2 linked regions of the Mytilus edulis genome follow. The protein of the gene in region 2 interacts with the protein of the main gene of each other region in a pairwise test. Links are inferred from orthologs where the notes say so. Each region holds a gene or a part of one and is shown on either strand. Other genes may lie near its edges.

Region 1 (16,245 bases), on a different chromosome or scaffold from region 2:
AATAAATGTATGGGCTGTTTTTTACCAAACACAAAATTTCAGTAAAAGTAGTAGCTAGGCAGGTAAGATGGTAAGGGCTGATTTTTGCCTAAAATTTCAGATTCATCGGTTGAACGATTTTGGGCATTTTTAAAACACTAAAATGGCTACTTTAGTAGAGTCAATTAGTTTATGTGAAAGATTTGAACTGATGTAATTGGATGTGGTCATTAAGGTGGTACCTAACACTACAGGGAGATAACTCTGTTAAATCAGCTAAACGTTTTAATTACGTTGTGTTGTTAAGGGAATATCATGAATATTACATGTACCATATTAAGCTTCTCAATGATCAAAATTAGTTTTTGTCAAACTGCTATATAACCAGTGTAATTTTTCTGATAAATTGGTTGGTTCAAATATTTTGAAATTTTTATATAATTGTCAAAGGTTTGACAAAAATTTATGAAAATTAAACGAGCCAAATTAATTTTAGTGAAAGTGTTGGGTACCACCTTAAGACGCTCAAATTAAATATTAAAAATCTATCAAATATGCCATAAACATGATAAAATGTCACTTTTCAGATGGCCTTTGTCAAAAATGAAAGAGCTAGGCCACATCCTTGTTCACTCTTAAATGCTTAACCTTTATATATGTTATGTATTATCATCAAATACAACTCACATTTAAATATATATTTAAAAGAATTTATAAGCACAAATGTGGTCACTTCCATTTAAGATGGAAACTGTCTAAAATTTAACTAAAATTTTAAAATTGTGAAAATTGAAGTAATTTAGCATGACTTTATGATGCTAGTACCCTAAAAATGTGCATTGTATTGTCAAAAAAGCCCATATTTATGTAACAGAAGTTTTCTACTCTTTCCAATAAATAGTTAACATGATTAAAGGTTGACATTTTAAATAATTTTGTAAAACTGCTTTATTTTGAGACCAAAAAGGGGTCTTACTGGACCTACATTTGTACTCCTTTGCAATGTTTTTACTTTACTTTTCACCCTAATTCTGGAGCCTCAGACCAATTTCATAAGTGATTTCCTTTGCAATACCAAAAAATTTGTAATTCTTCCTGGAATGCTGGACAGGCTGTTCATCTAGCTGTTAAATTAAATGACCCATTAAGTGAATGACATCACTTGACATCTTTGGTGTCAAATACACTAGTGTTAAATAACACCAATTACCTTTACTAGCTTTAGGTCATATATATATGATCTATGAGACTATGTATTTCAAAGTTGTTTTACAAACAATTTGAATTACTTCCCCTTTATTGTGTAGCGGGAGGGGGTCAGTGACGACACCTCCAGGGACGTGGAGTATCACTATTTGACCATCTGGATACCTGATATCCGATTATGGCAACAGACAATGACAGACAATAAATCAAATGAAAACTATATATTACATGTATTTACAAATGTACAATAATTGCATGTACAAAATGATGTATTTTACAAGGTTGGATGAAACAAGAGTATAAACTTTCTAAAATGAATATGATGAAGTTAAAAACTAAAGTAATTTAAATGTAAAATGAAACCAGGTGCTCCGCAGGGCGCAGCTTTATACGACCGCAGAGGTCGAACCCTGAACAGTTGGGGCAAGTATGGACAAAACATTCTAGCGTGATACAGCTCTGAATTTGGATTGTGATCAAATTTTTGACATTACATGGGTTTTTTTTACACAAAACAAATGTCAAGATTTTACAAATTTTACAATAAAAGATTTCTTCTTCAAACTTTTTAAATCTAAAATTAAATAGTTGGCACAGCATAGGTTTCTGACACAGAATGAATGTGGTCTAATGAACTTAAAAGTTTGTTTTTGCCTTTTAGCAATTCACTATGCTGTTGAATATTAATCCTCTCAAAAAAATGTTTGAAGAAATTTTCTTTTTATTTATGAAATCTGAAATGAGAAAAATTTAACCCCCCCCCCCCTTTTTTTCACATCCCCGTTTCCTTTTTTCCAAAACTGATATTATCAATTCAAATTTCTAATGGAGTTTGCAGCAATAACTACTCTTTTAAATACATCATAAAATATTAAAATGTAAAATAAAGTGCTTGTTATCACTGAATGGTAAAGATTGGTTGGTAGTAAAAGTGAATATACATTGTTTATTGTATAAAACAATAAAAAAAACTTCATCAGCAACATTTTATATTGGCAAATTTCCAATGAAGTTATTTACATAAAGTAATGGGCAAATAAAAATAGAAAATGACATCATAGTCATGTCTGGCAAATGTCCAACATACATTATCTAAAAACATTTTAGATAAGATAAGGAAATAAGATGTAAAAAAACTGCTTGTTATCACTGAATGGTAAAGATTATTTTAATTTATCAGTTGGTAGTAAAAAGTGAATATACATTGTATATTGTATATAACAAAGATTTAAGTTGATTCTGGACAAAGAAAGATAACTCCAATTAAAAAAAAATCTTGCTATTGCACAATATTTTGCAATTAGATATTTCTTGCTTACTATTCTGGACAAAGAAAGATAACTCTAATTAAAAAAAAAATTGCTATTTCACAATATTGTGCAATTGGATATTTCTTGCCATTGCGCAATACTGTGCAATTGAAAAGACTTGCTATTGCACAATACTTAATATAATAATTTTAGATCCTGATTTGGACCAACTTGAAAACTGGGCCCATAATAAAAAATCTAAGTACATTTTTGGATTCAGCATATCAAAGAACCCCAAGATTTCAATTTTTGTTAAAATCAGACTAAGTTTAATTTTGGACCCTTTGGACTTTAGTGTAGACCAATTTGAAAACAGTACCAAAAATGAAGAATCTACATACACAGTTAGATTTGGTATATCAAAGAACCCCATTTATTCAATTTTTGATGAAATCAAACAAAGTTTAATTTTGGACCCCGATTTGGACCAACTTGAAAACTGGGCCAATAATCAAGAATCTAAGTACATTTTTAGATTCAGCATATCAAAGAACCTAACTGATTGATTTTTTGTCAAAATCAAACTAAGTTTAATTTTGGACCCTTTGGACCTTAATGTAGACCAATTTGAAAACAGACCAAAAGTTAAGAATCTACATACACAGTCATGACAGTTAGATTCGGCATATCAAAGAACCCCAATTATTCAATTTTGATGAAATCAAACAAAGTTTAATTTTGGACCCTTTGGGCCCCTTATTCTGTTGGGACCAAAACTCCCAAAATCAAACCCAACCTTCCTTTTATGGTCATAAACCTTGTGTTTAAATTTCATAGATTTCTATTTACTTATACTAACGTTATGGTGCGCAAACCAAGAAAAATGCTTATTTGGGTCCCTTTTTGGCCCCTAATTCCTAAACTGTTGGGACCTAAACTCCCAAAATCAATACCAACCTTCCTTTTGTAGTCATTAACATTGTGTTTAAATTTCATTGATTTCTATTTACTTAAACTAATGTTATTGTGCGAAAACCAAGAATAATGCTTATTTGGGCCCTTTTTTGGCCCCTAATTCCTAAACTGTTGAGACCAAAACTCCCAAAATCAATCCCAACCGTTCTTTTGTGGTCATAAACCTTGTGTCAAAATTTCATAGATTTCTATTAACTTAAACTAAAGTTATAGTGCGAAAACCAAGAAAATGCTTATTTGGGCCCTTTTTGGCCCCTAATTCCTAAAATGTTGGGACCAAAACTCCCAAAATCAATACCAACCTTCCTTTTGTGGTCATAAACCTTGTGTTAAAATTTCATAGATTTCCATTCACTTTTACTAAAGTTAGAGTGCGAAAACTAAAAGTATTCGGACGCCGGACGACGACGACGACGACGACGCCGACGCCAACGTGATAGCAATATACGACGAAAATTTTTTCAAAATTTGCGGTCGTATAAAAAAAGTACATGTATTTCCAGAGTTAGTCTTAAATAAAGTATTAAATGCACTTTGTTTTTAAAGAAGTAAAATAATTAACTTGCACCAAAAAATCAGTGACTAACTGTGGCGCACTTCCATGACTGCACCTGAAGTGATGGCTAAATCTGTTCTTGAGTGGGATGAATTTCACCAGGGTGAGGTTTGGACATGTTGGAGGCTGATGCAAGTCAGACTCTGACTGAATATCAATTAAATTCCTAATCTTTTCATGTCTCACGATAACTTTAACTGAATAGGTACTGAAGAAAAGTGGAATAAATGAATATTCTTAAAACATAATATAAACATCAAAAAGTTAAATACTAAAACAAAAATTAACAATCCTTATTTTTATCTTACTTTATCTAAATCAAATCAAACTAAAGTTAAAATTAACATTTTATACAATAGAGGCTTTAAAGAGCCTGTGTCGCTCACCTTGATCTATGTGAATATTTAACAAAGGAAGCATATGGATTCATGAGCAAAACGTGTTTTGGCGATGGTGATGTGTTTGTACATCTTACTTTACTGAACATTCTTGCTGCTTACAATTATCTCTATCTTAAATGAACTTGGCCTAGTAGTTTCAGTGGAAAATGTTAGTAAAAATTTACAAATTTTATGAAAATTGTTAAAAATTTACTATTAAGGACAATAACTCCTTAGGGGGTCGATTGACCATTTCGGTCATGTTGACTTATTTGTAAATCTTACTTTGCTGAACATTATTCCTGTTTACAGTTTATCTCTATCTATAATAATATTTTTCAAGATAATAACCAAAAACAGCAAAATTTCCTTAAAATTACCAATTCAGGGGCAGCAACCCAACAAAGAGTTGTCCGATTCATCTGAAAATTTCAGGGCAGATAGATCTTGACCTGATAAACACTTTTACCCCTTGTCAGATTTGCTCTAAATGCTTCGGTTTTTGAGTTATAAGCCAAAAACTGCATTTTAGCCCTATGTTCTATTTTTAGCCATGGTGGCCATTTTGGTTAGATGGCTGGGTCATAATGGCCATCTTGGTTGGTTGGCCAGGTCACGCCACATATTTTTTAAACTAGATACACCAATGATGATTGTGGCCAAGTTTAGTTTAATTTGACCCAGTAGTTTCAGAGGAGAAGATTTTTGTAAAATTTAACGACGACGGACGCCAAGTGATGGGAAAAGCTCACTTGGCCCTTTTGGCCAGGTGAGCTAATAAAAATTAGACAACTTTCGAGTTTGATGCATTTCTGTCAAAAACTGGGGTTTTAGTGAACATCATTCATGGGTTTTAAGGGGTATCGTCACTTCCGTTCCAATGTTGAGCAAGTGGTTGGAAAACTATGATGCTATATAGCACAAATTATTCCCTTTTATCATGTTTATGAAGGGTACATATCAAGTGATAAAATGTATCTTTGACTTATTAGTAAAAGTGAGCACATATTTATATTATTTGAAGAAACTTTTCCCACTGAACCATACATCTAGACTATCTAGTATTATATGGTCAAAACTGAATTTAAACATGTCCAAGAATTTTGTAATATTCAGGCCACACCAATTTAATTTCTTGTTCTACGGATTTTTGGACTCCAAAATTTGGTGCGAGCGAGCGATTTGAAAATTTTAATAAAAAAATATTCAATTTGCAAATTTTTAAGGCGAAGCTTGAAAAGTAAAGGCGAGCGATTATAATTTTTTTTTTGTAAATATAAAATAATAGGTTTTGACAATATTAAAACTTGATTTATCACTTGTACTTTGATTTCTGAAGTATTTTTTCCCTGTTCACCAAGAAATAATTAAATCTGGTCTATGTATGTGTGACGGACAATGAGACAATTCTCCATCCAAATCATAATCAGTTTGGGGGCAACACCTTAATGTTATAAATATCCCTTTCACATGTTTTATGAGGGATCAATATAAGTTATAATATATTTGTTTGTACAAAAGGGCTCATATTTTCTCATAGAACTATATATCTATCTGGTATTAAATCGTCAAAACATGTCCAAGAATTTAGCAATATTCCTGGACTTTAACCATGTTAACACATTTACTTTAACAGTTTAATATTATTCAAAATAAGTGGACCCCTCTTTTAGAATTTTTTTTTAAAAATATGATGTAACTCTCCTCTTTTTGAGTACAAAATTCTAAGTGTTCAAAGGTTTTGCATAGAAGAACTATACAAATCCTTGGTATTTCTATTTTCTTTTCTACATCAGTAAAATGACCCCTTGTCTGAGGGAGGGTTGTTCTCAACCTGATAATAACAAACACAGGTCAAAGTACGGCCTTTTACACAGGGCTTGATACAGACCAAACAGCAAGCTATAAAGGACCCTAAAATTATTAGCGTACACAATTGGAACAGGAAAACCAACGATCTAATTTATATATCCAAACGGGAAAATACCAATGAACAACATCAACAAACGATAACTGCTGAACGACATGCTCCTGAATCAATCAGGACAGGTTCATAAACATGCAGCGGCTATGGATAGTTTTGTTTCGCCAGCATACAATATAATTGCAGTTGAAGGCAAATCCTACAGAAGTTCTTTGTACTTTATTCTAACAACGAACATTTTTTGATGGGGAATATAAGTAAGGGGGAAAGAAAAAAATTTTTGTTCTTCACGGAAATACCCGCTGTTATAACTTTTTATCGGAGCATTCCAGGTTTCATGCTGAAACAAATATTCTCACAGATATTTACACAGTGTGGTGGGGTGCTTTTATGTTTAAAATCGTTATATACAGGTTAGACTGTGATTTAACAAATGTTGATATCTTTTTATAATATTTACAAAAAAAAAAACGGTGCGGGAAATGGACATGATTACAATTCCGGATGCGGGAAGCAGGAATATAAAAAAAATCTGTTTTGAAAAAAAATAGGTGCGGGCGGGTCCGTCGAACAAGGGATCAAATTGGTGTGGCCTCATAGGCTTATATCTTCTTTATAATAAAAATAGTTGGACCCCTCTTTTAGAACTCAAAAGAAGTATTGTTCCAAATATAATGTATTTCTCCCCTTTTAAGATAAAAAAAAGTCTGTTCATTCTTCTTTGAAATACAACAGTAAAATGACCGCTGGTCTGAGTAGAGACATATAATATATATGTATAAATTCATATCTCTGGTCTGAGGGACAGTTTCTCGTTAAGGTATATCCCTCATTTGCCATTGGGGGGTTGTCAATTAAAAACGCTCACTTCAATTATTACCTGTGGGGAAGTTCTCAAACCTGTTTCCCAACTTAGTTTATTTTGGCACCTTCTGGAGGAATGAAAAAAAGTGTACTGCAAAATCCTGGTAAGTTTTCATTTTTCTTACACATAAAAGTAAACATATTTGAAATTCATTATCTAGGGCATGCTATGTCTGAAATTTTTTACAGATGTGCAGGTTTGTCTGTACTTGGAGTAAATTTTGAGGTGAAAATACGGTCATTAAATTAGCCACATGAACCTGAATTTATATGAAACTCTTGGCAGGTAAACCTTTTCAACAAACATTATTTTAATCATTTATAGACTGAAGATGGTATTTGACTTACAAGATAACAATGTTCTTGACACACTGAAGAATGTCTCACTATCAAACTACTGTCTTGTGATATGACGTGAATGTAAATAAAATGTGTAAAAGTCAGGAGACCTCTAATGTGATGTCAACAAAAGTTGGAAAACCCCTTTTCCCAATTTTGGGCTAGATAACCAAAAGAACAGGATTCTGCATGGTGCATAAAACATAAGGGAGCTACCATTTGATTTTTATGGGGGGGCTAGGATGAAAAATTTTGTCCTGCATTTTTTTTTAGTTGTAATCTCTGTCCTGCCTTTTTATTTTTCACTCTTTTCGGTCCTTCTTCTTTTTTTTTTTAGTTTATCCTGACTTTTTTTACATAAATTGTCATCCTGACTTTTTTTTTTTGCAAGTGTCTCATCCTGCCTTTTTTTTTTACTCAAAACTCCAGTCCTGCCTATTTTTTTCAAATTTCATCCTAGCCCCCCCATAAAAATCAAATGGTAGCTCCCTAAGAAGAAAACAAGATCCTGTTCAGATTGTTAACCGTGGGAACCATTTGAAATACAACTAAAGATTTATATAAAAATATTTAAAATTAAATACCTCAAAGAACAAATTAAATCACATCTCATCAAATCAAATAAGTTTACAGCTGTTATTTACAACTAATACAAATACAAAACATAAATAAAGACCAATATACGTGGACATACACAACTTAGCCCGTGCATGCTGAGCTAAACAAATATTTATATTTAGCATAGACACTAGTAATTATTCAATTTTTTCAAGTAGACTTAGTCCATGCAACATATTGGTGTTAGAAAGAACGTATTCATTTTTAGAATGTCTTGAAGAGACTACATTTGATATTTCTAGTAAACATAATAAGGAATCAAAAACGCCGGAAGATCAACATCAATTGAGAAGAGCGAGTATGGTGTCATTAGTGATAAAGGAGAAACCCTTGATTTATTAGCTTCCTTGTTAGTAGCAGCAGCTACACTCTATCAAGAGAATCATGATAGGAAATACAACCCAGGAATATCGTAGCATCTTGGAGATATTTACATTGTATGGAGAAGCTGCATGCTGAAAATCCAGGATGTTGCTACATAGAAATGGAAAGTTCACAATTGGGAAGCTGAAATGGAAAGTTCACATATTGGGAACCTAAAATCATTTTATAGAATATAAAAAAGAGGTGAAAGATAGATACCATAGGAACATTAAAACTCACAATTCAAAAATAAACTGACAACCCCGTAGGTTAAAAAAGAAAGAAAAAAAACAGTAAGGGAGCTACCATTTGATTTTTATGTGGGGGCTAGGATGAAAAATTTTGTCCTGCATTTTTTTTAGTTGTAATCTCTGTCCTGCCTTTTTATTTTTCACTCTATTCGGTCCTGCCTTTTTTTTTATTAGTTTATCCTGACTCTTTTTACCTAAATTGTCATCCTGCCTTTTTTTTTGGCAAAGTGTCTCATCCTGCCTTTTTTTTTTTTACTCAAAACTCCTGTCCTGCCTATTTTTTTCAAATTTCATCCTAGCCCCCCCCTCCCCCATAAAAATCAAATGGTAGCTCCCTAACAGACAAACAAAAGTAAACAAGCAAAAGTTATAAACTTTCTTGTCGCTTATCATTTTCGGTTATTTCTTTTTGTTGTCCTGGAGGAGACCTCTGTGGACTAAGATGTCTGACTACAGTATCACTAGCCAGTTAACATTGAGATTGTGCAGGGGCGGATCCAGACATTTTAATAAGGGGTTGGGGGGTCCCAACCCAGGACAAAAGGGGGGGGTCTAACTATATGACCCCTTTCAAATGCATTGATAGGTAAAAAAAAAAGGGGGGTCCAACCCCCAGAACACCCCTGGATCCGTTAAGGTTGTGAGCTCAAATACCGGCGCACGTGGAAGGCGCGCTCGACTCAAAATCTAATATGACTAGGATCGTTAGTTTTCCTACAAAAGGTCGGGCCTTCTTCCTCCACCAATAAACACTGACCTTACGAAATAAAACATTCTTTCACCTAAACTTAATGTTCCTATTGTTTTCATATTATTATAAATTAAAAAAAAAAAATATGTAAAAATTAAAATTAAAAAAAATGTAAATAACATTAATAAATATTAATGTGTATACCATGTACGGGAATATGTCAGACCCCTTCTACGATTTGCATATTTGTAGAAGTCAGATATGTCTATCCAAAAGTATATGATACTTACAGTTTTCATGTTTAAAAAACAAACACACCTACCTACCAAATCATTTAATATTTATAAACAAAGAAGGCTTAAAATTGAAAGGCACTTTGGTTATTTTCATTTACCAGTTTAGAAGTGGTATTAGGCTATTCAGAGTAAAATTTGTGGCCAGTATTGTATGCCAAATCATATCTATGCAGGCAGTATTAGGTGATCAGGCACGATTAAGAACTAGATATTTATATGAATCTATATTGTATAGAGCAAGTTGGAATGCTAAAGTACTAGTTAGTACAGAAGCACTTAAAGAGTGCACATTTTGGCTACAAAATATATGTAGTTTAAACGAGACAGGATCTCAATTGTGTCAGTTGACATTTAATGAAGATCAAGATTATCACTTGTTCTGTGATGCATCTGGCAAGGGTTTTGGCGGTCATTTGACCGCAGGTTCAAAGGACGAACCGTTGGAAATGTTTGGAAGTTGGTCAGTAAATGAACAAAACAAAAGCTCAACTTGGCGAGAGCTAGTAGCAGTAAAGAGAGTATTACACAATTTTACAAATTTAATAAAGGATAAAATCATTAGGGTATACACAGATAACAAAAACGTAACGCACATACTCAGAGTCGGAAGTCGAAAAGCATCACTACATGAAAATGTGATGCAAATACATGAAATTTGTAAGAATCAATCAATTAAATTAAGTTCTGTTTGGATTCCACGTGAACAAAACACACACGCTGACATGTTAAGTAGACGGTCAGATTGTGATGATTGGGAGGTACAGGACGAAATATTTACATATCTAGATCACTTGTGGGGTCCGCACAACGCCGATAGGTTTGCACATGACTACAACACCAAGTGTAAGCATTTCAATTCAAAATATTGGTGTCCAGGAACATCAGGTATTGACGCTTTCACGGTTGATTGGAAAGGTAAAAATAATTGGCTTGTACCACCACCAAATTTGATTCCTAAAGTGTTAAACAAATTAAAACAAGAAAAATGCAATGCTACTTTAGTTATACCAGAGTGGACCTCTGCACCGTACTGGCCTATGTTAATAGATGAGAAAGGGAACATGAAAGTTTTCATAGTTGCACACATTTTCTTTCAGGGAGAAAACTTGACCAAGGAAGGCCGCGGTCAAAGCGGAATATTTGGACAACAATTTCTGAAATTTAGATTGATTGGTTTAAGATTACAATTTTAGATCAAAATATTTATGATTATTCTTTTTTTAACAGGGACAAAATTAGATCGTACAGTAAAGGAGGCCATTAGAAATAGCGGCATCGATGGTGACAGTTATCTTTATGGGCTTTATCCAAAAATGTGCGAACTTTTAATAAACAGCAGAAGTGACAACACAGTCAAATCTTATTTTAATGCTTTTAAAAGATGGGAACGTTTCATATCTCTCCATGGACATGTTGCTTTACCAGCTCAACCAGTGCACGTCGCACTTTACCTTACAGACTTAGTTAACAACGGTTCCACTTAATATCATCCGGTGTATAATGCAATATATGGTATAAAATGGGCACACGAAATCAACAGTTTAAAAGATCCTACCACAAACACTTTTGTTACTTCAATACTAGAAGCGTCTAAAAGAGTTGCGCCAAAGAAGACTAACAAGAAAGATCCAGTAACTACAGACGTTTTGATAGAACTTTGTGATAATTTTAAAGATTGTTCTGATCTACTTGTGTTAAGAGATTTGACTATGATGCTACTTTGTTTTGCAGGTTTCCTTAGATACGATGAACTTAGATCTTTGCGTTTCCTTGACATTGATATACAAGATTCTTTTCTGATTTTACATATAACTAAGAGCAAAACTGACCAATACAGGCAAAGCAATGAGGTTATAATAGCAAAAGGTTCTACAATCGCATGTCCCTATAATATGTTAGTTAAATACACACGTTTGGCTGGTTTTAGTAGTCATGAGAATAAATTTTTATTTCGTCCTATCTACAGGTCAGGAGAGTTGTGTAAATTGATAAATAAGGATAAGAAACTCAGTTACACGGCGGCTAGGGAGTGTCTTCTTAAGAGAATTAGAATTATTCGTCCTGGTTGTAACATAGGTCTGCACTCGTTCAGATCAGGTGGTGCCACAGTGGCTGCTAACGCAGACGTTAGCGACAGGTGTTTGAAAAAACACGGCAGATGGAAATCTGACTCGAGTAAAGATGGTTATATCGTAGACTCCATAGAAAAACGTTTGAAAATTTCTCAAGTTTTAGGTTTATAGTTTCATATTTGGGATCGTGTACCCTTTCTTTGTATATTTCTATCACGTTCGACGGGCTGTCGGCAAATTTATATTTGTGTTTTAGTTATATTTAGTCATGGAGTAGAGGTAATACTTGTATTTTCCCGCGGTTCGTATAGTAAAGCGGGAAAATATTGTATTGTCGTTACGTTTTCATAAATATTCATAAGGCATGACAAAATTGACCAATCAGAAGTTGAATTTTGTCTTTCGATATATTGGTGTTTTTCAAGCGCTTCACTTTCTAGCCGTCGTTCAACATAGTAAGCTCCTTTATTTTTAATTGCTGATTGCAATTAAAGTTTTTTTTTTTCTGATTTTCTATTTGTATATGTATTTGCTAATTAAAGGTGTGGTCCGCCACTTTTATCCGGAGATAGGCTCGAGCATTGGCACGGATACAGGTTTCCATTCATATTCATATATCATGTGAACGATTGTTGGTTTTTCCTGGACGGCCTTGACTATCTATGAAGGGTAACATTCAGAAATTTAAGCGAATACACTGTGGATACATTGATATTTGAAATATTGTATATATGTTTTAATATTTGTTAAAATGTGTACTGCTGGAAATTATTTGAGATACAAATTAAATACGGCGTCTATCACGTTCGACGGGCTGTCGGCAAATTTATATTTGTGTTTTAGTTATATTTAGTCATGGAGTAGAGGTAATACTTACTGTGGTATTGTGTATGACACAAGACTTACAATCTCTTTTATATGATATTATTTAAGGAGGCTCGAGGGTATAAAAATTTCAGAAAAAAATCAAACATTTGTTTTTCATTACAAATTTTATTTATTTCCTTTTGTAATTGTTACTTTATCACATGGTACAAAAATCTTTCAAAACAATCAATTCGTGTTGGCCCCAGATGACTTTTAAAATGAATACATCATTGAAAAAGTTTCAAATTATCTCCCTTTGGTGGAAAAATGCCATTTTTTTGGCTTTAAAATTGAATATCTTTTTCAACTCATCGGTGACCTATCTTTTTTAATATAATTTCCATATAAGCTGTACTTCAACTAAATTATTGTAAAATTTGAGCGATTTCTGTAATAAATTTCTTTTTTTATTTCGATATTTACCTTTATTTCTCCTATTACTTCAACAGAAAAAAAACACCTTTACAAAAATGTATGCTTCTTTCGAAGGCAGATTGTGAGCGCAAATGAACGGTGACCCCACTTTTTTATTTTATTTTTCTATTAACTATAAGATAAAGTTCATTTATAGAAAAATATAGAGAAATCCTATATAAATGATTTAGACCCACGAACCCCCTTAATACATGTAGTTAAGTTTTGGCAAAATTGGAGATCTGTTGTATGACTGTAATAATTAAATATGTATAATAGACATCTATTCCGAAAAATCAAAAAGTGTTATCTTTTAAATTTAGTACATATGTACTCAATTATCATGATTATGGATCAAATTTAAGATTTTTAAAATGGCAAGACAAACATTTTGTACATGTAAATGCGGGCCGATGATGTTTAAGTAAAATAAAAGACCAATACTACATGTACTAATCAAAGTAAAGAATAACCTATACACTTCATGCACAGTATATGCAATAATTATTTTGTTTAATTGTAATGAGACAATTTTTTTTTATATTTCAGAACTGGTGAAACAAAAGAAAATTGTTTTCTGATAGGACTGAAGAATGGACACATTCAATCAGACTTGGAGTAAGTAGTTTTATATGAAAGAAATACTTATGAATGCTTTTTAAGTAACTTTTGCACATATTGGACTTACATTTTGAAAAAAATCAAAAGTTGTAAAACCATCTGTAATATTTTTTTGATATAAACATGGTATATATCTTTAAAATTAGCAAATTGAAAACAGGGGTTACAGCCCACAGGTCTTATTTTATTGAGAAAATCCCCAAAACAGGTCATAGTAAATTCATTATAATTATCTGCCCTTGATTTTACAAGGATTTTTTTCTTAAAATATAATTACTCTTTAAAACATGCTTAACATCTTATTTTTCATAGTTTAATCTTATAATTTCAAGTTTTAGATGTTTCTGTTGTACAATGTATATTGAATGATATATGGTAAAAATAGTAAATTCAAGTCAATATGTCAAAATGAAGGAAAACCCCACCTACTTAGGCAGCTCACAATTTACCTGTATAACATAGAGAAATTTGTCAAATTCCTTTTAGTTAAACAATAATGCATGGTAATTTTAATTTATGTTCTCTTTTTTTCAGGTTATGTTACTGCTTGGTGCACAAAACACAACAGATCCATGCAAGATGGTCATATCAATTATGCTGTTACAGAGCAAATCAGTTATGCACGAAATAAATTCAGGAACTTGTGATAATAATTTATATTCAATTTAACTGAAAATGAAGAAATTGTGAAGAACTAAAAAAGTCAAAATTATACATACATGTATAGTAATTTGTAGTTGCTTAAATAAATTCGATCAAGTATGATAACATTTTTTGCATTTTATTGTATGAAGGCCTAGTTTTTCTTCGCAAGAAGGCATGGCAGTGGTAAAAACCTGAATCTTTGGAATGAAAAAATTCTTTCATTGAAGACAGAATTTTTTCATATTCTTAAGGCGGATTTTTTTTCATATTCTAAGGCGGATTTTTTTTCGAAGGCGGATATATTTTCCGTTTCATTAGGTGGATATATTTTCGTCTTTTTAGGCGGATATATTTTCCGTCTCTTTAGGCAGATATATTTTTGAGAAGAACATTTTTCCTTTTAATTAGACGGAAATTTTTCCTCCTAAGACAGGCGGATAAATTTGCATATTTCGGCTCTATTCCGCCCGTAACCCGCCTGGAATCCATGTAAGAAAGATTCTTCGTGTAAAAGTGGACTTAAAACGGATTCCCTCTAAAATATCCGCCTGGAATCCGACTAAAATACGCCTGGATTTTTTCGTACAGGTAAGTTACAAATAACGGAATAATAAGCTCACATATATTTTTCTTCGTAATATAAATTAACCAATAGATAATCAAGATAATTAAAATACACACTATAGGTCAGATTTAAATAACAAGATTAATTAAATTTAAGGGGGGAAAAAAAACCTCACAAAATTTCTATAATATGAATATATAATATAGGCTGTTACACCTAAATAATAAAAAATTTAAAACATTTACTTGAAATGTTTTTATATAAGGTAACCTGGCGCAATACCCGCAAGGGTAGTCGCCATTAAATTCTATTTAGTAGTTTGAGAGAGTGAAAACATGCATTCAGTGTCATTGTTTTGTTATTTTCTTGCAATAACTCATATGACTTTTTTTAATCTACGAACAACTATTCAAAATATTGTCAAAATAAGAAAAATATATTGACTATATATTTGATGTTACAAAAAAAACCCAAGTGTTATACATTAGAATAGAATAGAATATTATATTTGTAACATTATATATGTTATAGAAGCCTATGATGTAACCTGAAAAAAAAATACAAATAATTATTATTATATACACCAACCAGAAGATCAAACTATAAAGACCTTGTCACGTTGAAAAACAGATAACGTAACTTTAATAAATCAGCATTGGATTGAATTAAGTGATTACGAGTGGCATTACCTTAGTTCACAATCACCAGACAAGTTGAATAAACAAACCAATTATAGAATAATGATTTGATTAAATAAGTCATTATGATGCGTTAAATTTTATAGGTGGTCCATTGGACTGTAAATATTTATTTAGCTATTCTGTGTGTGAACTGAATCAAATAAAAATCGCCATGAAATTCAAAGTAAAAGTTATCATGGAAAATAACTTTATAATTTAATAAAGGGCTGCGCTTTAGCGCATGATACGCCTGTTGCTCTTTTAACTTGTCTTTTATGCTTTAAATGAAGTTATATGATCAACTAGAAATAGTGTGAGCCCTGTCAAATACCCCCCCCCCCCCCAAATAATAAATAAAAATGCACAAAAAAATTGGCACTATTAAGGCTACCTCAAATTTAACTAAGTTGTTGTCTTTAATTTTTCATCCATACATAAAATTTTGTGAAAGTGTTAGTTATTGTCCCAAAATTGGAAAAATCCCCCCTTTTTTAAGCATAAAAATTCATAACACGGAAATGTAAAATCTGAAATTTATAGGGAGCTTACATCAATAGATATAAACAATTCACCAAAGTTTCATGGACATTGGTGAAAGCCTTTTTGAGTTATTGTCCGAAGTGTTAAAAATCACCCTTTTTTTTATGAATAAAGCCCCATAAATCCAAAACTTAAAATCTGAAATTTAT
Region 2 (16,623 bases):
AAATTTGAAGTAATGATGTTGGTTATTTATATAAGTCCTAAAATTAAATATTTTTTAAAATGTCTCCAATTTGAAGAACTTAACGTTGAATTTGTGAACTTGAATCAGACCATTTATATTTCTAACATTTCCATTTGAAGTCATGAAATTACATTAAGTATAGAAAATTACACAAATTACACAAAATAGTCTAACATTTAACTCGGCCAGCTGAGAAGTTACATGTATATACAACATATCCCTTTGCCTAAAAAATCTTAATATTACATGAATACAGTTAACTCTGTGACTATCTAGTTGCAAGTAAACAAATTGCTTTTCTTTTTAAACTTGTGCTCTGTGTTAATTTTTAACATCATGTCAATATTACATTGGAACATCAAGTCATGGCATGGTCTTGGTGGGGGTAGAGTAGTATAAGTAGTGAAATTACTGTCTGCATGTCAACAGTAAGGTTGTGAATGAAATCTGCACATGGTAGGTGCGCATGACTACAATCTTAATTGTCTAGGATTGACAGTTTTTCTACAGTTGCTCTCTATACATGTAGCTTCCTCAACCATCAAGGGGCCTGGTGGCCAAGTGGTTTACATAGTCAAACTATTGTATCAATAGCCTCTTCCTCAACCATCAAGGGGCCTGGTGGCCAAGTGGTTTACATAGTCAAACTATTGTATCAATAGCCTCTTCCTCAACCATCAAGGGGCCTGGTGGCCAAGTGGTTTACATAGTCAAACTATTGTATCAATAGCCTCTTCCTCAACCATCAAGGGGCCTGGTGGCCAAGTGGTTTACATAGTCAAACTATTGTATCAATAGCCTGTCAACACAGAGATTGTGATATTTATTCCAGCATAGAGCAGGTGCCATTGACTCCAATTTCTAATGACTAGGATTGTCAGTATTCCTAATCAGAGTCAGTGGTTCTCTTTGAAGTACGCTGGCCTCCTCCACCAATCAAATTGACTGACACCAAATAGCACAATAGTGTAAACAGTGGTGTTGAACACAAATCAATCAATCCATGGCAATATTTTCATATAATTACTTATTCAAATGAAAACTTGTATTTTGTAAACAAAACCAAAATAAGCCACAAGACAATCAATCATTCCATTTGAACATATATGGCTATTGCTGAGAATCAGTCTGATGTTACACAAATTCTGGTTGTAAATATGTATACATGTACTTCACTTACAATGAAAAAATTAGTAAAAATTTAAATTTGAACATCAGGACACAATTGTCATGGTGTAATGTGAGGTTACATACATGTATGGTTGTTTTTATCACTTGCATGCTGCTTCTATATTTTTGAAGTAATGTTTTTTATATATAAATGCAATTGTTACATCCCTATTTTGTAAAATGAACCCTAGTAATGATATTCACTGTAATCCTTCAAGCATCAAATGTAGTTCTATTATGGCTAAATTATTCTTAAGCTGTAGTACTCAGTAAAAGAATAGTAATTAAAGAGCATCATACATTTTGAGAAAACAAGTTCATCACAAACTAATAACAACCCTGTGCTGACATATGAAAATCAAGATCACAATAATATTCTCATTATTAAAGAGTGGAGCTTAAACTACCAACTTTTAATTATATAAGCAGCATGTTAGTTTTGTAGGTAGAAATAAGTGCCAATGAGATAATTCTCCATCCAGTCACAATGAAAGTATGTGTAAATAGTAAATAATAATAGGTCAAAGCATGGCCTTCAACACCGAGCTTTGGCTTTCATCAAATGGTAAGCTATTTTTTCCATTTGTAAAGGGGCATAACTATTAAACATAAAAAGTAACACTACCTTAATTCAAACATGATCTGTGTTTTAAATTTTTGTGATAATACATGTAAGGGTAGTGTATAAGTTTCACAACATTTGGTTGAGGCGAACTAAAGTAAGAAAATGAAACCTGTTTTGAGACAGACGGACAAGGGTAAAACTTTTGCCACCTTCATTACAACAGGGGCATAGAAACGATAAACACTTTTGAACGAAATCCAAAAAACACAACCACTGAACAACAGGTTCCTGACATGATCCACTTTAGGATTAAGAGGAATACATGTACTGAATTTGATATCAACATGAATATGTTGATGGTGAGATTTACGGTAGTCTAGAATATTTTAAGAAGTCAAGAAGATTTTAGGAAGTCTAGAAGATTTTAGGAAGTTTAGAATATTTATGATCTCCTAATGAGGTAGACATTAAAAGTAATTTCAACATGGCCTACAACTTTATATAAGAAGCACAATATATTTGCATAATTTACATTGTTTTTTTACATATTACTTAGAACATGTATATTTAAGAAGAACAAAATATGATTAGTATATATGCAATTCTAAAACTATCAAAAAGCAGGAAATATGCAAAAATCTTTTAAAAAACCCAAACTTACAGGTCATAATGTTGGTTCCATTTTGGATCCAAGGTATTTTTACTGGTATCAGTAGAATGACACTGGCCGGAACCATCCACACTAATTTTAGCAAAGGGATCAGGTAGGCCTGAAATTCAAAATTAATACATTAGTTGATGTGAACAGTTTTTGTTTTTAAACAATTCCTATGATTATTTACATGTAGTCATATCAAAATAAGTTGTCAAATCTTATGCTCTTGTGTCCTACATCATACATGTGTAATTAACTATGAAAGCATTATAACATATTTGGATATTGAATTCAAGAAATGTATGGAATGATGAAATAATGAACTGTTTTTACAAAGATATGTCTGGTCTTTTTGTAATTTTCGATTATGCAAAACTTGTGGTTCACCATAAACTAGACGGTATCACAAACTGATACATTGTTGATGCCCCCTGCCGGAAATAGAATACCTATGCCTCGCTTTTTGGTTCCGTCAAGGCGAGACAAAAACAAAATTTATTGTTAGGTACATTGTACATCAAAATATAGGCATGTAGTCTTATTCTTTATACTGGGAGTGGGAATAGTCTGCCCTTTCATTTGCATGTGAATATAAGCAACTCTTATTCTCATTACCAACTGATAGCATTACATGTTCGTATAAAAAACAAGAGTTACTATTGCATGTATTGTGACAGCATACACATTACAACTCAATGCTGTCAAGATGCTGCCTTAAACCAAATATGAAGCATTTCTATTTATGTAAAGAATTCTCCATATAAGTATGACAACATTTTGCCATATAAAATTTCCTTACATTTATTTTTCCCATTCACAAAATTTAGTGTTGAAATGGAACAGAAGTACCTATGTCATTTGAAAATCCTTTCGTAAATGCCAAAGTGATGAGCACTATAGAAAGGCTAAATCAAAGGTTTATTTTGTGTTTATCCTCTTTTGTTTTCCATATATTCTACTGACATTTTTACACAGTGTACATGTAATGGTTGATGCATGTATGTAACGAATCTGCCAAATGCGAAAAGAAAGTATTTGGACTGGTATACTTACGGAAGAAGTCTTTCTTGGCTAAGTTCTTGGCACATAGAACTAAAATAGAAAAAAAAAATTATTGTATGATGTGTGTACAAGTACATATAAATATACAAGAGACTTTTCCACTCACTGACCATACTCATCATGACACGGTACAATGCAGTATAATTTTTAATACCAAAACCCAAAACACCCACAATTTCCACATACATGTATGTGAATGGTTGGAAATGATCAATAATATGTTAATCAGAGTGGCTGTTTGTACACCTAGCCGGACAAATAGTGCTAGGACTATTTGTACGGTAATTGCAATGCGCATGTCACTTTATGTGCTTGCATAACTTATGATAAGTGCATGTAATATTATCTTCAGCAGCACCATGGGGTTGCGTGTACTCCGAACACTGATTTTCAATTGTGAGATAATGGTTGAAAACGGCGATATAAAAAATTGTGATAAATTTTCCAGTTTTTAGAATTTGACAAGCAGATACATTCGATAGTATGAACTTCAAAGAATGATCCAATTTTATAAAACGGACTAAAAAGTAATTGAAATCACAAAGAAAGGGGGTCAATCATTCTGTTTGACAGCTTCAGACATACTAATTTTGTACCTTTTTCAACTAGACCAAATCCTTTTGTTAACTTAATATGCCTATCAGGACCCAAGTTTGTTTTACAAGTTATTTCTTCCCTCTTCTTACAATGTGAAGGCATAGATAAAGAAATGAATATACAAATTATGATACATATGATTTTTTTTTTCTAATTACACGTTGTCCACATTCAACTTCATATGAAACTAACAAGATTTGGCACGACAATTTAAGATGGCAAACCATTGCTTATTAAATGTTTATATATATAATTTGTGACCCCCTGGTGCGGCTGAAGGTAATATTACAAGCACACACAATATTAACATGCGCATTGTATTGGCCGGACAAATAGCAACTGCCTTTGTTAATTTGTGTGATATTATATCGAAAATGCCATTAACATAAAATGTAACAGAGCTCTTGCTAAAAAATAATTATAAACTTTAACCATTATTGATAGCACAGACCCTGCCCAGACTGTGACACATGTACATGTACAGCACTTCAAGTATCTTCTAACCCATTTGCAAAGACAAAACAAAATTAATAAGACAATGCTACATTTTATAATATAAAGAATCATATTTTTTTTAAATGATTAAGGTACATTCCCATGAAAAATCCAGATTATCCTCATAATAGTATTTCCTCTCATGTCCAAATTTGAAATATTTCCTGTCAAATGTGTATCTTCCTCTTTCATTTGTCTTTCTTTTAACAAATCATAACCTAGTTAATTCTTAATACAGAGATGCATAAAGTTAAAAGTCCATGAATTCAAGAAATATGTATATATGACATGTTTGGTTGAACATGTCTATTGGAATAAAGATTGGAAGTCCGAAGTGGCAATATACTGGAAGTAAAATTACCATACATGTACAATAGTGAATACAGACTTATGTTTTGTGTAATGAATACTATCTATTGTTTTTACAGCAGTAAAACCAATTAAAAGATATATCTATTTCAGGAGTAAATACTTATAATTCATATAAATTTTAATTTGAAAGTTATTATTTCAGGAATTGATAATTAAAGTTTATGTAGAATTTTATGCATCAGATCCAGGAAATCAAATATTCCCAGAAATGTTTGGGATTGACCCTACATAGTACATATATTATACAAAATGTAAATTGTAGCTGTATTGTTAGCAATTATACCACATCTTTTTCATACATTATATATAATCATGATAATAAATTATCTATTGAAAATGTTAAAATTTGGTCAAAGATATTTTGATAATATAAATTATAAATCAATTATTAAATGTATATACTAATCACAAAATCAAGATTATTGAAAATAATTTTTGTTTCATCTATCATAATTTTCATTTAAAAAAATAACTTAATAAATAACCCTTTTAACATCTCCATGTTAATGAAGATAATCATGACTTAATTCTCCGATTAAAATGGACTATCAATTTGAACTTAATACATATATATAAATACAAACTTTTGAGGTGTACATGTACGTACGGTACTCTGCATTTATAAATCTGCATCCTTAGGAAGTTCTTCAACAATTTGCAAATAATATATATGATAAACATGTACACAAGAATTACATGAGGATATGAATGTTTTTGAATGCATAACTAATAAACTCTTTACTCGTATACATTTGTAAAAAGGCTAACTATGCGATTCCATGTTACCTTGTCACAAAAAAATATGTCTGGACTCATTTTTTTCAAAACTTGTATGGCCAAATGATATATCATAGGAACACTATGCCAGTAAAGCAATACTAATGTTTCCCATAATTTAAGTGCTTTCATAGCCGGCAAGACAAAAAATTGAAAAACCTATTAGAATAAGTATTCAAATATGGAGCATGCTGTCTGATTATTCTATCATGTCTATTGTTGATTTCAGGATCAGGATTTTCAAGGTGATTCTCAACAATACATTTGGTTAGTAAGACGATGTCTCAACAAACTACCCAACAACATGACTCATGTGAATGACAATAATTACCTTCAAGAGATTTAATAAAATCTTATGCATATGGGTAATCACAATGTCAAAAAGAGGTATCCAACAAAAGCAATGCCAATGAGACATCTTCAGAAAAACGCTTTTCACAATCATCCTTTGTGTTTAAAGAGAAAGTAAAAGTGGTTTTCAGTCCTGGCCTTACTTGTTGTCATTTATAAAGTTTTTCATTGATGATGGTAATGTACATCATTTTAAGAGTGGTCTCAACAATTGACGCCGTCAAATTATAATATATCAGAATTTACATATATATAGGCCTTAATTCTTTCTTAAAATAGTTGGTACACTCAACGATACCGCTGTAATGATGATATTAATTGCTACTGGATTCCTCAAGGCAGCCATTTTTCTTTGGAGTACAATGGGTCATCGACAAATACCGTTTGGTTTCGATCTTATAGGCGAGTTATTTGTGTAATAAGGTGTACCTGTTAAACGAATTTTCATAGTAGATGTTCCATGACGCCTAGATCCGTTACTAGCCATTGCTAGATATCGAGATCATGATATATTTTCTGTCATTTTCATCCCCATTCATTTAAACAGAAAGCAAAATATTGTATGCAAATGAGTCTGAAACTGACAACTTCCGGTAGCGACAAAGAGGCCATTAAAAGGATTACTGTCGCCAAAGATAAGCGGGGTAATGGTAGGGGGAATTAGTAAGTCTTGCGTCCGGTATTTAACTAAAACAACTGTTTCATTAAGTGGTATTATGTAAATTGTATTCAAATTAAATTATGCCAGAAATTATGATACTTTTAGTTACAACTTATCTGGTTTTATAACTTAAAATGACATATTTATATTTGAAATAAAGTGACCTTTATTTTTTTCAGAGACAAAATGTAATGTAAATTGTAATTCACGGTCTGAAGTGACAAATACATAAAAAAATTATCGAAAAATTCTATTTCTTTTCTTATTAAAACTAGTTAAAATTATCGACAGTATTTTTACAATATTTGACACTTACACCCTGTTTCAACCACAGTCACTAATATTTGTAACTATTTTTATATATATCTTAGTGTTAAGGTATAAGGGACATTTTTTCTGAGACAAGTGCCTGTAGTTTGACTGACTGACCCTGCGGATCCTCCCTCTCCTAGTCTTTTTTCTACTTTTATCGGAGTTATCGGCGTATACATTACTGATCCAAACTTCACATGATAGAACTTGAATTTGGTGCCTGATATATTAAGTGCTGACAATATCATCTTAAATACCATTAATGAGATATAATTGCTGTGAATGACGTATTGATGCTTGGTTATCTGTATAAAGTACGATGAGGACAGTTAGTGACAGCTGTCAAGTCCACGGTCCATGCTAGAGTACAACCCTCTGCTTGGTGTCTGCTCCTCATCAAAACCATTATTTACTTTATATATATACATTGTCCAGCAAATTTATCAATTTACCGTGAGGGGGAAAAGACAATAAAATTCTAATAACATTGTTTATAAGCTAGATTAAGAGGACATTTCCACATCTCTGGGGTCACGTTGTGATATATAAAGAACTAAAAAGGAATTTACCAACATAATTGCTCATTTTACTAAAATAGATTGTAAAAACAACAAGATTTAGTTAAAATTTTAAAATTTCATCTTTTTCCTAAACTTTCTACTTGAGTCTCTTGGTGTAAGATTTTTTATTTACCGTTTAATTGCATGTTGACTGATGCTTTGCTTTAACTGACTGTTCATCTTTTTACCATAGCACGCGGTAAATGACTGTTTATCTTTTTACCATGGCACTAGAGTCACGATATGACTGTAATCTTTTCACCACGGCACACGGGCGTTTGACTGAACTTTTTACTATAACACATGGTATATTACTGTTCACCTTTTTACCTAGGCACTAGAGTAATTGGCTGTTCATCTTTTCACCGTGACACACGGTATCTGACTGAACTTCTTTTCACTATAGCACACGTTATATATCTATTTATATTTTCACCATGGCACACGGTATCTGCCCATATGACTTTTCATCCTTGTACCATGGCACTACAGTAATTGGCAGTTCATCTTTTCATCATGGCACACGGTATCTGCCCATACATCTTTTCACCATAACACATGGTATATTACTGTTCATCTTTTAACCATGACACACGTTATCTGCCTGTACATCTTTTTACCATAGTACACGGTATATTACTGTTCATCTTTTTACCATGGCACTAGAGTAATTGACTGTTCATCTTTTCATCATGGCACACGGTATCTGCCCATACATCTTTTCACCATAGCACATGGTACAAATGTATATTACTGTTCATCTTTTAACCATGACACACGTTATCTGCCTGTACATCTTTTTACCATAGTACACGGTATATGACTGTTCATCTTTTTACCATGGCACAGCCACTAGAGTAATTGACTGTTCATCTTTTCACCATGATACACGATATCTGCCTGTACACCTTTCACCATAACATACGGTATATGACTGTTCATCTTTGTACCATGGCGCAAGAGTAATTGGCTGCTCATCTTTTCATCATGACAACGTGACGGTATCTGCCTTTACATCTTTTTATCATAGTACACGGTATATGACTATCTTTGTACCATGGCACATGGTATCTGCCTATACATCTTTTTATCATAGTACACGATATATGACTATCTTTGTACCATGGCACACGGTATCTGCCTTTACATCTTTTTATCATAGTACACGGTATATGACTATCTTTGTACCATGGCACACGGTATCTGCCTATACATCTTTTTATCATAGTACACGATATATGACTATCTTTGTACCATGGCACACGGTATCTGCCTTTACATCTTTTTATCATAGTACAGGATATATGACTATCTTTGTACCATGGCACACGGTATCTGCCTATACATCTTTTTATCATAGTACACGATATATGACTATCTTTGTACCATGGCACACGGTATCTGCCTTTACATCTTTTTATCATAGTACAGGATATATGACTATCTTTGTACCATGGCACACGGTATCTGCCTATACATCTTTTTATCATAGTACACGGTATATGACTATCTTTGTACCATGGCACACGGTAACTGCCTATACATCTTTTTATCATAGTACACGGTATATGACTATCTTTGTACCATGGCACACGGTATCTGCCTATACATCTTTTTATCATAGTACACGGTATATGACTATCTTTGTACCATGGCACACGGTATCTTCCTATACATCTTTTTATCATAGTACACGATATATGACTATCTTTGTACCATGGCACACGGTAACTGCCTATACATCTTTTTATCATAGTACAGGATATATGACTATCTTTGTACCATGGCACACGGTAACTGCCTATACATCTTTTTATCATAGTACAGGATATATGACTATCTTTGTACCATGGCACACGGTAACTGCCTATACATCTTTTTATCATAGTACAGGATATATGACTATCTTTGTACCATGGCACACGGTAACTGCCTATACATCTTTTTATCATAGTACACGGTATATGACTATCTTTGTACCATGGCACACGGTATCTTCCTATACATCTTTTTATCATAGTACAGGATATATGACTATCTTTGTACCATGGCACACGGTAACTGCCTATACATCTTTTTATCATAGTACAGGATATATGACTATCTTTGTACCATGGCACACGGTAACTGCCTATACATCTTTTTATCATAGTACAGGATATATGACTATCTTTGTACCATGGCACACGGTAACTGCCTATACATCTTTTTATCATAGTACAGGATATATGACTATCTTTGTACCATGGCACACGGTAACTGCCTATACATCTTTTTATCATAGTACACGGTATATGACTATCTTTGTACCATGGCACACGGTATCTTCCTATACATCTTTTTATCATAGTACAGGATATATGACTATCTTTGTACCATGGCACACGGTATCTTCCTATACATCTTTTTATCATAGTACACGATATATGACTATCTTTGTACCATGGCACACGGTAACTGCCTATACATCTTTTTATCATAGTACAGGATATATGACTATCTTTGTACCATGGCACACGGTATCTTCCTATACATCTTTTTATCATAGTACAGGATATATGACTATCTTTGTACCATGGCACACGGTATCTGCCTATACATCTTTTTATCATAGTACAGGATATATGACTATCTTTGTACCATGGCACACGGTAACTGCCTATACATCTTTTTATTATAGTACAGGATATATGACTATCTTTGTACCATGGCACACGGTATCTGCCTATACATCTTTTTATCATAGTACACGATATATGACTATCTTTGTACCATGGCACACGGTATCTTCCTATACATCTTTTTATCATAGTACACGATATATGACTATCTTTGTACCATGGCACACGGGTATATGACTATCTTTGTACCATGGCACACGGTAACTGCCTATACATCTTTTTATCATAGTACACGGTATATGACTATCTTTGTACCATGGCACACGGTATCTTCCTATACATCTTTTTATCATAGTACAGGATATATGACTATCTTTGTACCATGGCACACGGTATCTGCCTATACATCTTTTTATCATAGTACAGGATATATGACTATCTTTGTACCATGGCACACGGTAACTGCCTATACATCTTTTTATCATAGTACACGGTATATGACTATCTTTGTACCATGGCACACGGTATCTTCCTATACATCTTTTTATCATAGTACAGGATATATGACTATCTTTGTACCATGGCACACGGTAACTGCCTATACATCTTTTTATCATAGTACAGGATATATGACTATCTTTGTACCATGGCACACGGTATCTGCCTATACATCTTTTTATCATAGTACACGATATATGACTATCTTTGTACCATGGCTCACGGTATCTTCCTGTTCATCTTTTTACCATCTATGACACTAGGGTGTATAACTGTTAATCTTTTCACAATAGCACATAGTATCAGACTACATCTATACACTGTGTCACATAATATATATGCAAGCCGTATGTTTCAGTTGTTCAGTAACAGAGCTGTATTACAAAAGGAGACGTAGATGTAACAATTTAAAAAAAATAGATTAAGAAAGGTTGCAAAACGAGACAATTTCGACGTGAAACACAATTTATGCTTGATACGGACTTCTGGCTTGTTTCACTCACTTCAATTTCACGTGAATTTAAATTCCGGTCCCCCCTTTCGTGAGAAAAATGTGGTTGATTATATAGGGAATAACTGAAGCATGACTGGAGCGCCCCCCTTTTAGGTCAGTCAGCGGGCCCCCCTTATGAAAAGTTCTGGATCCGCCACTGCATGAAATCAGTTTATGTGAATTTTCACATGAACCTCATGTGAATCTCACTTGAATTTCATGTCATGTTAATGATTCTAATAACATCTAAAATTCAAATTAAAATAAAATCATGAAAAGTAAACGTGAAAATCATGTGAAAAATTTCTCGTGAGAATCGTGTGAATCTCAATTCACGTGAAATTCACATGAACATTTTCACGTGAGTTTTATGTACAAGCACGTTTGAGGTTAATCTTACGTGGAATTTGTCACTTGAATTTCATGTGAGATTCATGTGAACAAATTTTGCCTGTGTAGTACTGGTAAGGCTGCATGGAATATCCCAAAATATTGTTTGTGTTAAATTGGACGAAATCTAAATCATCGACCACTCACGAAATCTATTCGGTATCTTTCGGATATGGAAAATCAAATTGCGAAATGGTTGTAAAAGTTTCTACTCCAACAACAACAACAAAAAACAATTGAAATCTATTTGTACAATTTGTATCGTATGGTAACATGGTACAGTTGCATTTAGGTAGTGAGCTACATTGGCTTTTCTCGTTGACAGTTCCACAGTTAACAAGAAAAAACTTTGCAATTTATAAATGAAAATGGTGTTGAAAGGAGAATGATTAAAACATATAATGTTATCGATACAAAATAAAAAATAAAATTGAGAATGGAAATGGGGAATGTGCCAAAGAGACAACAACCCGACAATAGAAAAAAACAACAGCAGAAGGTCACCAACAGGTCTTCAATGTAGCGAGAAATTCCCGCACCCGGAGGCGTCCTTCAGCTGGCCCCTAAAGTCTAGTTGTGGTATGATTTCCAATGTGGCAACTCTCCACAAGAGATCATAATGACTCCGAAATTAACAACTATAGGTCCCCGTTCGGCCTTCAACAATGAGCAAAGCCCATATCGCATGGTCAGCTATAAAAAAGGCCCCGAAATGACAATAAAAAACAAGAAAACTAAAGGCCTTATTTATGTAAACCAACTTAAATTTCTTAGAACCAAATTAGATCGTGTCCTAATTTCCCCCGCTTTGTAGTTGATATTTCCTGGCAATCATTTCGGTCAAATCACTTTTAAATACCTACTTAGTTTGTTAAGTGTATAATTGATCATTAAATATGCAAGGAATATTTGACACGTCAAACTGATACACACAATTATTTATCTTTTCTATACGACACTTACAATGCCCTTTTAGAGCTGAAGAGTTGTTGTTTCCTTCGCCTCTATTGAATCTATCATGTTAAGTTATATGTTTTTTTTTTTACAACCATTCAAAGCATAGGCCTATATGTCTCTGTTCTGTTATACTGGTAAGCAGATCATTAATGTGAACACAATAGACTGTCGGTGTGCATTGAATCTCTTGCTTTATATTCTTAAAAGAAGATATTATAAAATACGATTCAGTCAAAACATTTCAAACTGATCGCAAGATTATTTTTTTTTAACAAAATTGAGTCCTGCAATGTTTGTTTCGAGTTACTCATGAGATTAAGATGGTAACGGATAAGCACTACTGACCCCTGACACCATGGTGAAATCACTGTAATAAGATGCAAATAAGAGTTACATTTAAACGAGAAACAACAATTTTATAGAATATTACATTTAACCAAGACCTAGCCAAGGAATATCACATTTAACCAAGGACCAACCACGGAATATTACTACGAATAATGTCAACGTAAAAAAAAAGAAGTTAGATGACGGACACTTAAGTATTGATTACACTTTAAACTGGGCCTTTAGATCATAAAATACAGTTCAATATTCTCCAAATTCCATTTACAAATGCTACACTACCACTGGGTCGATGCCACTGCTGGTGGACGTTTCGCCCCGAGGGTATCACCAGTCCAGTAGTCAGCACTTCGAAGTGAACGTGAATATCAATCAGTATGAATTTTTCGAAAAACTAAGGATTTTCTGATCCCAGGCATAGCCTTTACCTTAGCCGTATTTGGCACACTTTTTTGGAATTTTTGGTACTCAATGCTCTTCTACTTTGTACTTGTTTGGCTTTATAACTATTTTGATCTGAGCGTCACTGATGAGTCTTATGTAGACGAAACACGCGTCTGGCGTATTTAATTAGAAAAACCTATAAGCCTGATACCTTTGATAACTATTGGTCAAACGATGTGTGTTTTTGTTGTTGGTGATACAAATATTACAAACATGAAAACATATCAAGAACACATTGACCAGTGAACAATTTAGACTAGCAAAGTATTGGAATTTCAATTTGTACAAGAAGGATTCTGGATCCTACCGAATTCTAAATTGTTCTGCAACATATACGTCTATGTAGGTGCTATTACAACAAACATTCCCTCATGAGGTATGCTGGGCAAAACAGATCTGCAATTCTGAAGAGTCTGAAAATACTATTTTTCATTTAAGGCATAATCTGTTATCGGTCTGTCATTTTGTAACGCTCTAAGGCTTGTCTATTGGCTTGTACACCTGTGGTAATTTTCTTGTGTTAGCCTCTTTGCGTGTAAACCTATGGTCATGTTCTCGTTAGTCTCTTGGCTTGTACACCTACGTGTATGTTCTCGTCGCTTGAATTGTACACGTATGGTCATGTTCTCGTTAGTCTCTTGGCTTGTACACCTACGTGTATGTTCTCGTCGCTTGAATTGTACACGTATGGTCATGTTCTCGTTAGTCTCTTGGCTTGTACACCTACGTGTATGTTCTCATCGCTTGGATTGTACACGTATGGTTATGTTCTTGTAAGTCTCTTGGCTTGTACACCTACGTGTATGTTCTCGTCGCTTGGATTGTACTCGTATGGTTATGTTCTTGTTAGTCTCTTGGCTTGTACACCTACGTGTATGTTCTCATCGCTTGGATTGTACACGTATGGTTATGTTCTTGTAAGTCTCTTGGCTTGTACACCTACGTGTATGTTCTCGTCGCTTGGATTGTACTCGTATGGTTATGTTCTTGTAAGTCTCTTGGCTTGTACACCTACGTGTATGTTCTCGTCGCTTGGATTGTACACGTATGGTTATGTTCTTGTAAGTCTCTTGGCTTGTACACCTACGTGTATGTTCTCGTCACTTGGATTGTACACGTATGGTCATGTTCTTGTAAGTCTCTTTGCTTGTACACCTACGTGTATGTTCTCGTCGCTTGAATTGTACACGTATGGTCATGTTCTTGTTAGTCTCTTGGCTTGTACACCTACGTGTATGTTCTCGTCGCTTGGATTGTACACGTATGGTCATGTTCTTGTTAGTCTCTTGGCTTGTACACCTACGTGTATGTTCTCGTCGCTTGGATTGTACACGTATGGTCATGTTCTTGTTAGTCTCTTGGCTTGTACACCTACGTGTATGTTCTCGTCGCTTGGATTGTACACGTATGGTCATGTTCTTGTTAGTCTCTTGGCTTGTACACCTACGCGTATGTTCTCGTCGCTTGGATTGTACACGTATGGTTATGTTCTTGTAAGTCTCTATGAATGTACAGCCATGATCATGCATGTTTTTGCAAGTCTTTTGTGTTTGTTCGCCTATGGCCATGTACTTGTAAGTGTCTTGGCTTATACACGTATGGTAATGTTCTTTTAAGTTTCATGGATTTTACACCTAATGTCATGTTTTCCTAACCCTTGGATTTTACACCTACGTTTGTTCTTGTCGCTTGGCTTGTACATCTATAGTCATGTTCTTGTAAATCTATTAAGTTATACCACTATAGTCATGTTCTAGTCTCTTAGGTTGTACAGCTGTGGTGATGTTCTTGCCTCATGTATTGTACATCTGTGGTATTGTTCTTGTATGTCTCATGTGTTGTACACCTGTGATCATGTTTTAATATGTCTCATGTGTTGTACATCTATGGTCATGTTCCTGCAAGTCTCTTGGGTTGTACATATATTGTCGTATTCTAGTAAGTATATCGGTTTGTACACCTGTGATCGTGTTCTTATAAGTTTCTTGGGTTGTACACCTAATGTCATGATCTTGTCACCCTCTTGACTTGTACACCTATGGTCATGTTGTTGTCTCTTGGGTCATACACCTATGGTCATGTTGTTGTCTCTTGGGTCATACACCTATGGTCATGTTGTTGTCTCTTGGGTCATACACCTATGGTCATGTTCTTTCTGAGGTGTTATTTAACATATTTTAAATTTCAAACTTCGATTTATTTCATATAAAATAAATACCTAATAAAGTGTAGCATGGAGACATGAAAATCTGGTAGAAGAGGTGGGTATGGACGGGTTCATGTTTCCAATCTTCATGACGAAGCATATTTCATAATAAAAAGATACCTAATTCAGTGTAACATACAGGCTTAGGGTAGTGCTAATTTGTAATTGCAATTCCCTGTAGTGCATTACATTCCCCATTAATGCATGTAATGTGTTATACATGAAATTGTAATGTAATGCATTACATTGCAATGTAATTTGCCCAATGCATGGACTTACATGTAAGGTCTTGTTTTTGTTAAAATTTTGTACTCATGAGGTGTTCTTGTGTTCTTACTCTTGTTTCATTTGTGTGGCAATGTCATAGAAGTGGTGTTGGTTGCTAGAGAAATCTTAATTTAACACAGCATGATTTTTGTGCTATTCAATCCATCAATATTTCAAACGAAAATAGACCAAAAGAAAAGACAAATGATCAGTTATATTTTCAATGACATCGTCGAACACGAATGAAAATAACCAAGTACAGAAAAAAAGTTTGTTATTTTATGAATATGCAATTACAAATCAAATTGATGATGTACATTCCCATGACTATTCCTACATGAAGAGAATCAGCAAATACTAATGCAACATTCTGTAGTTTTAACACAAGCAGGGAATAGAACAAATGACTTCCAGTGCTCATGTAAGAAATGGCAAGGTGGTAACAGTTCAAACCCTATGACTTCCAGTGCTCATGTAAGAAATGGCAAGGTGGTAACAGTTCTAACCCTATGACTTCCAGTGCTCATGTAAGAAATGGCAAGATGGTAACAGTTCTAACCCTATGACTTCCAGTGCTCATGTAAGAAATGGCAAGATGGTAACAGTTCTAACCCTAGTTTTCTACACCTTTTTGTTTTTACTTATCACTGGAATAACATATCATACTTAACCTGCTGAAATTATACTCATATATTAGCCACTGTAATTTTGACTTTATTTCATATACAAAGGTAATGAACTGTAAAGCAGGTAGTCAAAATTTTGCAATTCTGTATCAGTATGGAATTTAAATACCAGAAAAAA

What was found.
Region 1: the proteins of E3 ubiquitin-protein ligase SMURF2-like (region 2) and spartin-like interact in a two-hybrid assay, tested with the Homo sapiens proteins (2 studies listed by BioGRID and IntAct). The link is inferred for Mytilus edulis from reciprocal best matches to the Homo sapiens genes SMURF2 and SPART.

What each region holds. Positions count from the first base shown.
Region 1 is NC_092351.1:1,233,481-1,249,725, forward strand, and holds the start of spartin-like, read right to left. Parts: upstream 7,626-16,245; 5' UTR 7,483-7,625; intron 1-7,482. UniProt on the Homo sapiens protein: Lipophagy receptor that plays an important role in lipid droplet (LD) turnover in motor neurons.
Region 2 is NC_092352.1:15,162,484-15,179,106, reverse strand, and holds the start of E3 ubiquitin-protein ligase SMURF2-like, read right to left. Parts: upstream 6,678-16,623; 5' UTR 6,553-6,677; coding exon 6,495-6,552; intron 3,504-6,494; coding exon 3,465-3,503; intron 2,527-3,464; coding exon 2,418-2,526; intron 1-2,417. UniProt on the Homo sapiens protein: E3 ubiquitin-protein ligase which accepts ubiquitin from an E2 ubiquitin-conjugating enzyme in the form of a thioester and then directly transfers the ubiquitin to targeted substrates.